3 linked regions of the Callithrix jacchus genome follow. The protein of the gene in region 1 purifies or fractionates together with the protein of each later gene. This does not show direct contact. Links are inferred from orthologs where the notes say so. Each region holds a gene or a part of one and is shown in the gene's direction. Other genes may lie near its edges.

Region 1 (4,234 bases):
CTGATGTAATACATGCAGCACTGAGAAACTTTTCCTCCTGTATTGCTATTCTGGGAGCATCCCTTCCATTAGAAGTTTTAACTGTCTCCCAAATTCTTCACTCTGCAAAAGCACCTTGTTATGGAACATTGAATAAGTAACAATCCTTCTTCTCCAAGAATTTTTATTGGGGATTGCTGAGTAAGGGAATAAGACAGATAATTAGAGTTATAATGTAAGAATTCCTTAAAAAGAATTATGTTAACTCATAGACGACAAAGGGAGTGCTAAATTCTGAATCTAACTCGGAGGTCTTGAACCTCATGATAAATCAACTCCACTTTCTCTTCTTCTGTCAAACCTCTTTTAAATGTGCAAGTTATTAATAAATTGCCTTCACAGCGCTTGGCTCCAGGCATTGTAGTTTTCCCCCTTCCTATTGTGTGTGGTGGTGTTTTTTGTGCTTACCTAGTTCTCCTATTTACAGGTGTGTAAACTTGAGCCACTACTGTAGCTAATGTCCATTTCTTTCACTTGTTCTTATAATTAAATGTAAGTCTTCTTAGCTATGTGTTGGGTGTTGAAACTGTTGATCTTATTTTGGGTGACATCCATTTCCACCGCCCCCGCCCCGCCCCCGGAAACCATCCCGCAAGGGCTGTTGTTCTGTTTCCCAATGGTGTCCATCCCCATCCCTCTAGAAAGAAGTCCTTAGGACCACTACCAACTCAGTCTGGTTTACTTCCCAAGCCCCACAGTCTGCTGACCTTCAGTTCCAGCAGCGATCCTCTTCCTTGGGGGGGATTTCCATAAAACAGCTGAATCTCTCTTGGGTCATCTGTGGCAAAAGCCAGACACGTGCTCGCCCGCCTGGGAGCCAACAGTAACTTTTGCAAACGCTGCCTTCGGAAACCCCACAGTTTGCGGGCTGCTGCTTTAGGAACAACACAGAAATAACGTCTTTTAACAGAACAAAACATATGGACAGGATAGTGAGAAAGCCTTTGTCCTTCGCGGTGGGGAGAGGTATTTTAAAGGTGAACCCAAAAGAGTACGGGGAAACCCGTGTAAAATGCCTTTACAGTTCCCCAGGAAGAAGGGGGCGGAGATGGGTCTGGAGCGTCTCTGGCCCTTTAAGGAGGAGGGACCAGACATAGAGTCTGTACCTTTAAGAGTCTCTTTGTCTGGAAACCTTCTTATTTACCCTGTTGTGCTTCAACCAAACTTCGACCAGCCATTCACAACGCCTCCTTACGCCGCCGCCTCTTACGCCAGGCTCAAATCCGCCGCGCGTTCGTGGCTGACCCTAAACTTTGCGCCTGCGGCGCGAACCCTCGGACAGGGTGCCGGTGCCGGGGTCGCGGCCCAGCGCTGCGCCGTTGGCGCAATGCAGGGCCTGAGGGGCGGAGCTCCTGCGGGCGGGCCAATAGGCGGGCAGGGGGCGGGGCCGAGTTCGGTTGTCTCGCGCCCTGGTGACAGCTCGCGCGTGCTGATGATGGCGGTAAATAGAGGGGGCCGGGGGAGGGGACGGAGGAGGTAGGGAGGCAGCAAAGTGGGTAGCTCCAGGGGTAGGGGGACGGGGACCGGGGAGGCCGCGACGGTCAGGGAACCCATTCTAAGACTCGGAGGCGGGGACAGGAGTCTCCGGCTTACTAGCCCTCCCCTTTAAAGAAGCAAAATCCTCACACACCGGGTGAGGGGCGACAAAGGCAGCGCGCGCCTTGCGCCGGGAGGAGCGGCGGCAGGGGGCGGGACCGCGGCGCCGGGGGGCTGGGGGCGCCCGGGGCGGGGGCGGCAGGAGGAGAGAGCCGGGAGTCGGGGAGCGCCGGCGCTTTATTTTGGCGGGGTGGGCGACGACTGGGTTGGGGGAAAAGCCTTGAAGGGAGAGAGGAAGAAAGGCTTGGGGGCAATGGGGAGAACCGGGTTTAGAATGAGATGAGGAGGATTAAGGGGAGAAAGGGTTAGAAGCCTGGGAGAGCAGGAGTGAGAAAAAGCCAACCCAGAAGGTAGGAAGGAGGCAAAAGCCCGGGTGGGCGTTAAGGAAGCCGGGCAAGGAATGAGGTTAGGGCTGGGAAAAGGGATCCTGGGGTTAGGTGTAAGAGCGGGGGTTTGAAAGGGAAAGCTTTGTAGGGGGTGGTGTTGGGGTGCGGGATACCGGGGTAGGAGTTGGAAGTGGAAGACTAGGAGGGGCAGAGCTGGGGTAATAGTTGGGAGTAGGGAAGAGAGTGATTAAGAGCCAGACGTGACAAGGGTGTGAACTAGTGCGGAGCGAGATGAGCTGAAGGACTAGGACCAGCGGTGTGGTGGGAACTGCTGCTGAGGTTCTGCGAAAGGAATGGGTTAGTGGGTGGGCGATTGGTGTAAATTCTGTAAAGTGAGGGAGGGCAAATGAGACCTGGACTGGAACCAGGTGAAGTCAGGAATAAGAGTGGTGGAAGGGCGAAAGGAAACAGATAAGAGATGGGTGTCTGTAGAACAATTCTAGGACCAGAAGAGCTGAAAGGAGACTAGAGTTAGGGTGTAAGAAGTGATGGCTGTCTGGGACAAGGATAACTGGGGAAATACGTTAACTGAAGAGGTTCAGCAAGATCCAAGGTGAAAACAGTGAGGTGAAGAGACACGGCTAAAAGCAGACGGTGAGAGGAGCAGGAAGAGATGGGTCCCAGGATTTAAAGGATGTGATGGGGAGTAAGGGAAGAGAAGGGGGCTAAGGGAAGCTGAGAGAGTCCTGATGGATGTAGAATGGGGGTAGACTGCACAGGGGTGGGAATTGAATGTGAGTGTTGTAGGTAGTTGCTCCGGAAGGTCTGCAAGGGTCAGGGCACAAATGTTGTAGTGAAAGATCAAGTGTAAGAGAACCTTTGGTGCAGAAGAGGAGGAACCATGGTGAGTGAAAGGGGACCTAGAGACAGGGGTAAAGACTAAAAAAGTAAGGGCAGAGGTGGGGGGGGATTGTGCAGGAAGAATTCTTTGTTGAGAAGAGAACTGTATATTAAAACTGTGAATCCTTTTGTCCCTAAAAGTAGGAAATTCCAGAAAGCTCTTTCTCTCTTCAAGGAATCTTGAATCCGCTTCCACCTTTCATTGCTTTTGATTTGATTTTCCTGTCCACTTTGAAGAAATGAAACTCATTTTGATTTGATTTTTGTATAGATAATAAAGCATAAACTCTGGGTGTTGAAAACCTCTGCATTTCACTAGTGTTGTGATAATGGGGGGCAAGGGTGTGTTTGTTTAGAGTGTACCCGTGTGATGTGATAGTTTTGGTGTTGTAGGAGTATTGTACCTGACAAGTGCTGGGCTGTGTTTTATGGACAGCGTTTCATTTTCATTTTCAATGGAGAAAGCGCTGTTGTTGGAATAGAAAGATGAGAATCTGTTTGTTTTGATTAATCAACCAGGTTTCTGCTTATTGTTTTCAGTGGTGGGAGAATATCGAGAAATCATTTCAGAGAAAGGCAAATAAGCAACCAAGGAAGTTTGCTGAGGGAGAGATTTAAATCAGAGCTGAGGGCTTTGAGTTCCTGAGCTGCCTTTAGCTTTGTGTGGGATGTTTCATGCTGTAGTTGGTAACTCACCCATTTCACAAAATGGAATAAAGAAAGGGAGAATTGTAGAGTAGCGGAGGATTTTAGAGTGGCAGACTTATGTTTTAGGGTAAATAATGAATTTATGAATAATTTTGATGGCAAAACATCTCTATAATATTGCATGCTGAGTCTTTGGACAGCTCCACTGCCTTTCATGTTTTATGGTTATGAATAAAGAAGGCCAGATTAATATTAATTTTCTAAAGCCTTTTGATTTTTAAGACACCATTAGAAATGAAAAAGAAGATAAGAAATTTGGGGCAAAATTTTGGTTATTCTTAACTTAGAATTTTGTTTTAATGATTTTAATCAGAAGCATTTACATTTAGCTAAGAATATGAATGAATATTTGTTTTGCATTTGATGGTACCAAAAGATAGCATATAATTTAGGGAAAAATGCAAACTGTTGTTGAGAATCTTGATTGGGGTTATTTCATTGTGTGCACTCAGATGCACAAAGATACTTTTTTTTTTAAAGTTGTATAAATTTTGGATTGCCACTCTTTTGTTGGTGTTTGTGTATAAATAGTAAAGATTAGGCTTTTGATATTTGTAATAGTTAACAAAGATTAGATTTTGATTTGTGGATATGAGCAACAATGGTTATTAATTTGTATGAATAATTTAGAAAACTCTTTCTGCATTCAGCTACTGTGTTGGTGG
Region 2 (4,190 bases), on another chromosome or scaffold:
CAGGCAGAGGGAACAACTGGGACAAAAATGAGAGGCAGGAGTGTGGCTGGCACATGAGGTTCAACGACAAAGCCAGTATTGTGGGGCTGGAGTGAGCCTGAGGAGAGAAGAGTAATAGGCTTTGCAGAGGGCATGGTGAGAACTCTGGCTCGGACTACTTGGGAGGCTGATGATGAATCTGTTCACTGCTGAAGAAGGAAGAGGGCAAAGGGCAGAAGCTCCATTTAAAAGGTTCTAATAAGCCTCGGGCCTTTCTCTGCCTGAGAAACTTACTCTCTGCCCTCTGCCTCCCTAGATTACTGCCCCAATGCCTGGAGGAAAGACAGGTGAAGGCCGAAAGCCACGGGAATAGCGAAAGTGGGCAAATTGGACCTCCAGCTCCCTTTCTGCAGGTCTATCTCAGTCCACAGCCCTTGCACATGCTCCCTTTGAATTCTCCAAGCATACCAGTAACTTCCAAAACTCTTGGGACTTTGCTTATGAGGGCATCTCGGCCTGGAATGCTCCTCCTTATCTGTCTTGAGTGGGTGTCAAAAAGAGTATATTTTGATGACCTCTCCCGGCCCCTCATGCTCGCTCACATCCCCCTCACTCCTTTCAAAGTCCGTTCCCAAAGCCCCCAGTTCACCGTCCTGGGCTGCTTTTAGCCACGTGAGACCTAAAGTGATCCCCTCTTGGAACCTGATCTGGGGCCTATACTTCTGGGGCAGTCTGGGAGTGCTCTCGAAGGGCCACCCTCAAAGAGCGAACCTCGGCTGGATTCAGTTCCTAGGTACCAGCAGTCCGACCTCTGCAACGACGCTCAGCACACCCCTTCCCCTCTCTGGGTCTCAGCTGCCCCGTGAGTACAGCCCCTGCTCCAACACGCAAGGTCAGTAGCATCTGGGGGCTCTGATGCACTCGGTCCCTAACTCAGCCTGAGGTCAGCCCAGAAAGCACCCGACCCGGGAGGCCCCGCAGCTCTTCACTCTCCCGCCCTGCCCAGTCGCTGACACAAGGTGACTTCCAAGGGCAAGACCACGACTCTTACCCGTCTGTAGGCGCCCCCCTGGCTGGCCTCAGCTCGCAAGCAGGCTGCACCCACCGAACTCTAGCCTCAGACCGCCACCCTTTACTACCCTCCCGCGTGAGACGAGAATCAGCCGAGCTTCCTCCACCAAGAGGATTGGCCCAGCTCAGCGTTGGCTAAGCCAATTGGCGCTCGCGGCGTGATCTTGCCCAGTTATGACTGGCCTGTGTCGCCAGCGTGCCCCTCCCCGCGCTGGTCCAGGGCTTTGCCAGGTTAATTCCACCCACTTCGGCCCTGAACCAATGGAGAGCGGCGAGGGCCAGAAGACGGCCAATGGAGAGCGGGGCTGCGCGCAGGGGGCGGTGGGAACGGGGCCGAGTCAGTGTATACTGCGGTTGCCTAACAACCGGCAGCGGAGTCCTTTGGCTATGGTGAGTGCTGGCCGCTCCGTCGCGCCCCACGCCCAGAGGTTGAGCCCTTCCCAAGCCCCGGCTGTGCCACGCCGCCTCTCCTGCGCCTTTCTCGGCTTTGGCGTACAGTCCTTCCTTTGAGCTCTTTCCCGGAAGGGTAGGGTACAGGCGCTAACCAACCTACTGGGCCTGCGCTTCGCTACTGCCTCCCCTTCACCCACGACAGGCCCACACCCGCCCCTCAGGCTCCCCTGGCGTTCCCTGGTCCCCTCGGTGACCCTCCCTGGGCAAAAAAGACTCGAATCCCTCACAGACCCCTGACTCTCTCAGACCTTGGCCTCCTGGCCGCCTCATTCTGCCAAAGTTTCCCCACAGAACTGGGAGAAGGTGTATTGTTTTCTTTGAAAATGTTTTCTACAATATAAATATAGGGGCATTAAGGGGATGCTTTAGCTTCTTGGAGAAGGCACGAAGGTGCCAGATGGATTGAGTTTTATTATTAGATACTGACACGATATACATCTTAACTTCCTAATATTTGGGCAAATCTAGAAGTAATTGGGAAGTCAGAGTACTTACTAGGAAGCGGAGTACTGGCAGTGGGCATTTTAAGGCTGTTTCCAGAACCAGGTTCCCCACATTCGGGAAGAGCTGATTATCTCTAGTTGTTCACAGTCAGTTTCTTGACTAGCTCTCTTTTGGGATGATTTTCAATAAGAGATATCCTTACTGAACAAATGATCTCCCTGCATCTAGAAACAATAGTAAACCCTGTGATATTTCTTGTTAAGCAAAGCTTTGGAATTGGTTATAAATGACTTTAAAAATACATATAGGTGTCTGTAACTATGTTATGTAAATATGGACTGTATTATATATTATTGTGCTTATGTATTTGCATAACATATAAAGGCCTCCAGCTTTAAGAAGGCAAACATGGCGTCAAGTGCCCAGCGAAAAAGAATGAGTCCTAAGCCTGAGCTTACAGAAGAGCAGAAGCAGGAGATCCGGGAAGCGTTTGATCTTTTTGATGCAGATGGAACTGGCAGCATAGATGTTAAGGAACTTAAGGCAAGCTCTATGCATTCCTGCCGTTTGCCCTGCCTTTCCTCTCCCTCTTCCTTGTCATCTCTTTATCACCTCTCTACCCCTTTTGCCCTCTTCTCCCTGCAGTAAGTAACAGGGGAGGTTGTACTGTGCTCTGTTTTCCTGTCTTTACTTACCTTGAGTATTATCAGATGGATTGCAGATATCAATTAGATCTGTGTTAAAGTGTTCCCGAATCATATTAACATGATCACATCAGATACGGACTTAATGCTCTCAACACTGTTATTTTTGCTTCTTATAGTTTAGATGTGTATATTGAGACAATCCTGTTTTCATTGTAGGTGGCAATGAGGGCCCTGGGCTTTGAACCCAAGAAAGAAGAAATTAAGAAAATGATAAGTGAAATTGATAAGGAAGGGACAGGAAAAATGAACTTTGGTGACTTTTTAACTGTGATGACCCAGAAAATGGTAAGTAGTTAAGACAATTGGCATGGTACAGAGCCCCAGTCATCTGCAGAGGCCCATGGCATCTGCCTGTTAAAACAGTCATGTGAGCACACAGCAGTTCAGGCCTGCCCTCCCGTCATGTTACCTTGTGCTTCTCTCTCAAGACTTCCAAGCAGATACCTCATCCCACAGAATTCCAAACCAGTTAAGAAACAGATGTGGGATAGGGAGCAAATGTCACCTTGGATGGAGTGCCTGGCTTGCCTGGTGTTTCTCTGAGGCCAAAATGGGCTTCCTGACACTGGCTGCAAGTCTAGACTCGAGTTATTGTTAAAAAGGAGAGGGTGACTGGGCAGCGGCAGGGCTACAGGACACAAGTAACCGTGGTGTCTCCCTACTCATGTGTTTTATGTTCTACTTGTTAAGTCTGAGAAAGATACCAAAGAAGAAATCCTGAAAGCTTTCAAGCTCTTCGATGATGATGAAACTGGGAAGATTTCGTTCAAAAATCTGAAACGCGTGGCCAAGGAGTTGGGTGAGAACCTGACTGATGAGGAGCTGCAGGTTTGTAATGCCTCACACTGGAACTTCAGATTCCCACCTTTCAGCCTTCTGTGCCTTTTCTGTTACATTTTTCCTCGTGTGAGCATCTCTTTGAAGGAAAGCCAGTGGACTCTTGTCCCTTTAATAGTCAGACAAACCTATGAGCCCTGCTTCTAGAAAAATGCACAGGTGCACAATCTTACTTACTATTTTGGGTTCCAGGAATCCCTCTAGTCAAGGCAGTCTTCAAGCTCCCTCCCAGGTGATATGTTTCACAAAATATGACTTGGTTTTCAAATAACTATTCAGGAACCAGGCTATTATCAGGAGTAGCATACTGGCATTGGGTGGACTACGATGATCTTTTCACATAGCTTTATTAAAGTCTATTGCTTCCCAGGCACAGTGGCTCATGCCTATAATCCCAGTACTTTGGGAGGCTGAGTTAGGAGGATCACTTGAAGCCAGGAATTTGGCACTAGTGTGGGCAGCATAGAGACCCTGACTGTAAAAAAAGTCTATTCCTTAATCACCTTTTTGAATTAGTTTATAAATTAAGCTAACCTGAATATTTACTGTCATATAGGAAATGATTGATGAAGCTGATCGAGATGGAGATGGAGAGGTCAGTGAGCAAGAGTTCCTGCGCATCATGAAAAAGACCAGCCTTTATTGAGATCAGTGTCTTCTTTTCTACTGCAAGCACATGTAACTAGATTTAGTGCCTGC
Region 3 (4,272 bases), on another chromosome or scaffold:
ACATTGTTCTCAAACTTTATCTTTACTAATTTCCTCTTTCTAATTTCAATTATACAATTTTCTTCTTCATTTCTAACATCTTCAGATAAATGCTTGGTTTATTTTTATCCTTTCTTCTTTAAAATAATGTTCTCCTATAGCTTGGTCTGTATCTTAGAATGTTAACATATAGTTTTTTTCAATATCATTAGGTTCTAGTAACTGTAATTTCTCTTTCCTTTTAGAACTCAAAGGCGATTTATAAAAGTACCTTAAAATTTACAGTATGAACAAAATAAAAGTTCCACTTTGATTTTTAGGGGTGCTAAACCTTAACTAATTTTTAGCTTGTTCTATCATACTATCCTTACTTATGCAAATTTAGCTCATCTTTCTAGGTCTAATATTTATGCCACCTCCTTTAAGAAGCCTATCTTGTATTCTCTCTCTTCTCTAAACCATTATATACATCCCTTAAACATGTAATGTTTATACTATCCTCTGCCTTCAACTCCCATCCTCAGGCTATTTTATTCACGTTTATGAGATCTGCTGTTTAGCTAAGTATTTTGCGGGTTTTCAAAAGATTCCACTCAATTTACAGAGCACCTATGCACCATTTTACTAGGTACAAAGAAAAGCCTTAAACAGATAATAATCATGGCCTTCAAGAAATTGAACCTAGTAAGAGAGATGAATAAGAAGACATTCAAGTGAGCTTCAAGAGACTTGGTTTGGTAGTAAAGACAGTCTCATGTGTATAAACAGCTTACAGCACTGTAAAATAAGAGAGAGAAACGAATAAATCCGTTTTAAACAGTTCAAAGGAGGAAACCGAAAGGGAAGGGTGGTTTAGATACTGCCTCACCATAAATAGCCTAATAATCTAACCCTGTGATAATCCAAGTATAGTCACAGTACCTGCCTCAGAATCACCTGGAAGGCTTGTGAGGGGTAAAAACGAAGATTCATACCTACTGAAATTAGAATGGGGAAAGGGGCATTTAAATCTGCATTTTAAACACTTTCCCCAGGTACTGAGGTCATCCAAAGTTTTAGAACAGAGCAGAGCCAAGTTTCGCAGATCTTGTTCCTCAGCTACTCCCTCCTAGCCGGAGGGTGGCCTGCAGCGTGTCCCTTCCCTTCCCTCCGTCGGAGCTGTGTGTCCAGTTTCCGAACGTCGGCCCCACAGACCTCAGGGCTTCAAGCAAGACACGACTAGCACCCACCCACCGCGGGCACATCCAGCAGGGATCAGAGGCCGGACCCGCAAAGGATTCGGGGAAAAAGGCATCGAGCCAATCCGAAGGGCGAGAGCAGCCCGAGAAATGGGTGGGTGAAGGACAGAAACATTTTTCTCTGATTGACGTAAAACGTACCCAATGAAAACAGAGAATTGTGAAGCTTCCGCCCGAATAGGCAGAACCGTGGAGATTTTTCAACCAATCCAGCTCAAAAGTGTCTATGTTGTGGGAGGTCCCTTAGGCCGCTAAGGTCGTTCGTGTCTGTTGAACGGCTGTGAAAGTCTTGCTGTCTTGGGTAGGGGGTTAAAATCGTTCTTGAGAGGAACGTCTCTGTCCGAAGAGATAATGAGTTTAGCTCTGAGGTCGGTAATAAGGAGGCGGCAGTGTTCTCCACACCCCGGAGCGGGACGCAGGGAGGGTGTGGAAGGGAGGCCGTTTGGGGCCGAGGCGAAGTAGGGGATGCAGTTTCGGGACGCGGGAAAGGAGCCTAGGGTAGCTTACCCGGACCAGTCACCCTCTGGGCCCTGGTGCCTTGCAGGGATCGAGTCCAGTGCGTTTCTACTGAGGAAGTTATTTCTGTCAGCGCGTAGGGCTTTGGACTGCCAAAAAGATGGGCTTAGTTGCGAGCGCGGAGGGAATGAAATATCGCGAGGCTTTTACTCGTTTCTGTGAGATACCAGGCCGCGGAACATCCCTTCATTCAATTCGTGTAGCTGGCCAGGGCCCCGCCTCGGCTGCTTCGCTGCTAATGCAAATCACCCACCTATAAATTTTGGCAATAACACAAAACTCCTTCTTCCTCATTTCTCAGGGCGTTGCCTTATGGTGTAGTTGGAGACCCATTTTAGTGAATTTAATTGGCAAACTGTCACTTGGATTTCCTCAGCTTCTTGCATTTCTTTGCCTTTCAGTTCTAACCTCTAACCCTCTGTATGTTGCCCTCTCACCCTTTGTAGAAGTTGTACCGTAAAACTATATACTTAGGACAATAAAAATGTTCCATGTTCTGCTAAGGGATAATCGTACCCTTGAATGGGGTCAGGGGGTGGGTCGGTTCTGGACTTGGCCTCTAGAAGTCTCAGGAAGGAAAAGACTGACCCCAGGAATACCCAAATTTGTGTCAAGTCAGGTTTCATGAAAGGAAGCTTCATCAGCTTTGTCATACTGCACCTACTGGTCACTTCCTGGCCTTTTTTTTTTTTTTTTTCCTAGCTTTCAGAGACCAAAATGACTTTCAAATGCAGCTAGATACGTGTTTTAAATAGAGTCAACTGGTTTTTACATGATAATGTGTTATCGAATTATAGGTTTCAAACTTGTTCTTATACCAGTGTTGCATCCCCCTGTGAAAATTTGGAGCATGTTTAGATGGGCAACTCTTAAAGGAAAATATTTCTGGCTTTAAAAAAATTACTTTTTTTCTTTAAGGCTTTCCAGAGTTTGTTTATGAGAAGTTTAACCTCCAGTTTACATGTTAAGTGAGACAAGACTCTTCACATTTTTATATAGAATGAAGCACAAATATTGTATTTTTTTGGCATCTAATATTTGTCATGTTTAGACTCATTAATATTTTGAATGATTTGTTAATATTGATGGAGGAAATGACAAATTGCCAAACTGTTAGAAAGGTGTAATCTAAAAACATTTTTAACCAACAATGCTAAAATACTAAGTTAATTCGGTTGTATGTTTTTGTAGTACTTTTACGAACTTAATTATAAGAGCTATCAAAAGTAAACCGACATATAGTGACTGTCAACTATGAATTTTGGTTTCGTTTGGAGTTATTTTTCTTTAACAGTCTTAGAATAATGTGAGTATTTTGTTTTTTGGTTAGAGTTGGTTGGAGTTTCAGATATAAAAGCAATGTTACTTATTCACAGTTCTTGTTTTTTCCACAGTAACATTAGTGGGAATAAATAAAAAGCTGGGAAAAGGAAAAGTATGGTCCTCATTTATTTTACTAATCTTTAACAATCTTTAGTTTTGGGAAGTTCAGATTTATAGCAATTTAGATTATGGAGTAAACAGGGCATTGACTCATAAAGGGAAAGTTTCCCTATCTTTCTCCAAAGTACTTTCTTTTTTAAAATTTAGAAAATAATTATTGGCTAATTTCTGTTAGCAAAGAGAATTAAAGTAGACTTTAATTCTCCTTTAATTTAAGGATTTTTTTCTTTCCATTTCATAGAAGCGAGCTTGTAGTAGATAAAACAAAGAGGAAAAAAAGACGAGAATTGTCTGAGGAACAGAAACAAGAAATTAAAGATGCTTTTGAACTATTTGATACAGACAAAGATGAAGCAATAGATTACCATGAATTAAAGGTAATGGTATACTTTAAAATATTTGTTTTTATGTTAAAATGATTTGCATTTTGACAGTTGCTTTACATTGCATTTCTAAATAATTATTTTGACTAAACTGGTTTGGAACTATGAAGGCATTTTAAGCATTCCTAGTTAGTTGCTATAATAAAACTGAACAGAACCCCTAACAGTTTTTAGAAAGTCTTTTTCACATGATAAAATGAATAGTATTTTAAATGTAAAAATATATTCCTAGGGAAGGTGCTTATTTTTCACTGACATAATTAAAGGATTTCAAACTGGAATTTAAACTATTCTTACCATATTCTTTTCACTGTTTTGTTTTTGTTTTTGTTTTGTTTCTTGGTGACTCACTGTATTCAGATTGAGGGAGTGTTGTCTCTTAATCTTAAAAATTGGATTTGTTAGTAACATAGTCTCAATCCACTTTCTCTGGTGCAAATTTAAGTGCTGTTTGATGTTGACACATGCTGATGGGTAAAATGTCAACTTTAATACCTAAAATGTCAAGATGTGGGGAGAGATTTGTAAATTATATTTGTCGAGGTATAGGGAGAGATTTGGGTTTAGGGTAGAATGGGACTTTTAGCACAGTGGGAAAGATAGCATTTTCAGATTTTTAATAGCCTTAATGGATAGGTGAATATAAGTATGTGTTTTAATTTTTCTAATTTTGCAAGGGATTTTTAAGCATAAGAATTCCAAGTAGGGGGTAG

What was found.
Region 2: the proteins of USP49 (region 1) and CETN2 purify together in Homo sapiens (affinity purification with mass spectrometry; 3 studies listed by BioGRID and IntAct, with this or other methods). This does not show direct contact. The link is inferred for Callithrix jacchus from reciprocal best matches to the Homo sapiens genes USP49 and CETN2.
Region 3: the proteins of USP49 (region 1) and CETN3 purify together in Homo sapiens (affinity purification with mass spectrometry; 4 studies listed by BioGRID and IntAct, with this or other methods). This does not show direct contact. The link is inferred for Callithrix jacchus from reciprocal best matches to the Homo sapiens genes USP49 and CETN3.

What each region holds. Positions count from the first base shown.
Region 1 is NC_133505.1:50,397,174-50,401,407, reverse strand, and holds the start of USP49 (ubiquitin carboxyl-terminal hydrolase 49), read left to right. Parts: upstream 1-1,434; 5' UTR 1,435-1,672; intron 1,673-2,812; exon of another isoform or gene 2,813-2,865; intron 2,866-4,234. UniProt on the Homo sapiens protein: Deubiquitinase that plays a role in several cellular processes including transcriptional regulation, cell cycle progression or innate immunity.
Region 2 is NC_133524.1:148,960,081-148,964,270, reverse strand, and holds the start of CETN2 (centrin-2), read left to right. Parts: upstream 1-1,390; 5' UTR 1,391-1,437; coding exon 1,438-1,440; exon of another isoform or gene 1,441-1,576; intron 1,577-2,331; coding exon 2,332-2,490; intron 2,491-2,810; coding exon 2,811-2,939; intron 2,940-3,344; coding exon 3,345-3,482; intron 3,483-4,047; coding exon 4,048-4,137; 3' UTR 4,138-4,190. UniProt on the Homo sapiens protein: Plays a fundamental role in microtubule organizing center structure and function. Required for centriole duplication and correct spindle formation. Has a role in regulating cytokinesis and genome stability via cooperation with CALM1 and CCP110.
Region 3 is NC_133503.1:120,374,700-120,378,971, forward strand, and holds the start of CETN3 (centrin-3), read left to right. Parts: upstream 1-1,472; 5' UTR 1,473-1,568; coding exon 1,569-1,585; intron 1,586-3,417; coding exon 3,418-3,553; intron 3,554-4,272. UniProt on the Homo sapiens protein: Plays a fundamental role in microtubule-organizing center structure and function. As a component of the TREX-2 complex, involved in the export of mRNAs to the cytoplasm through the nuclear pores.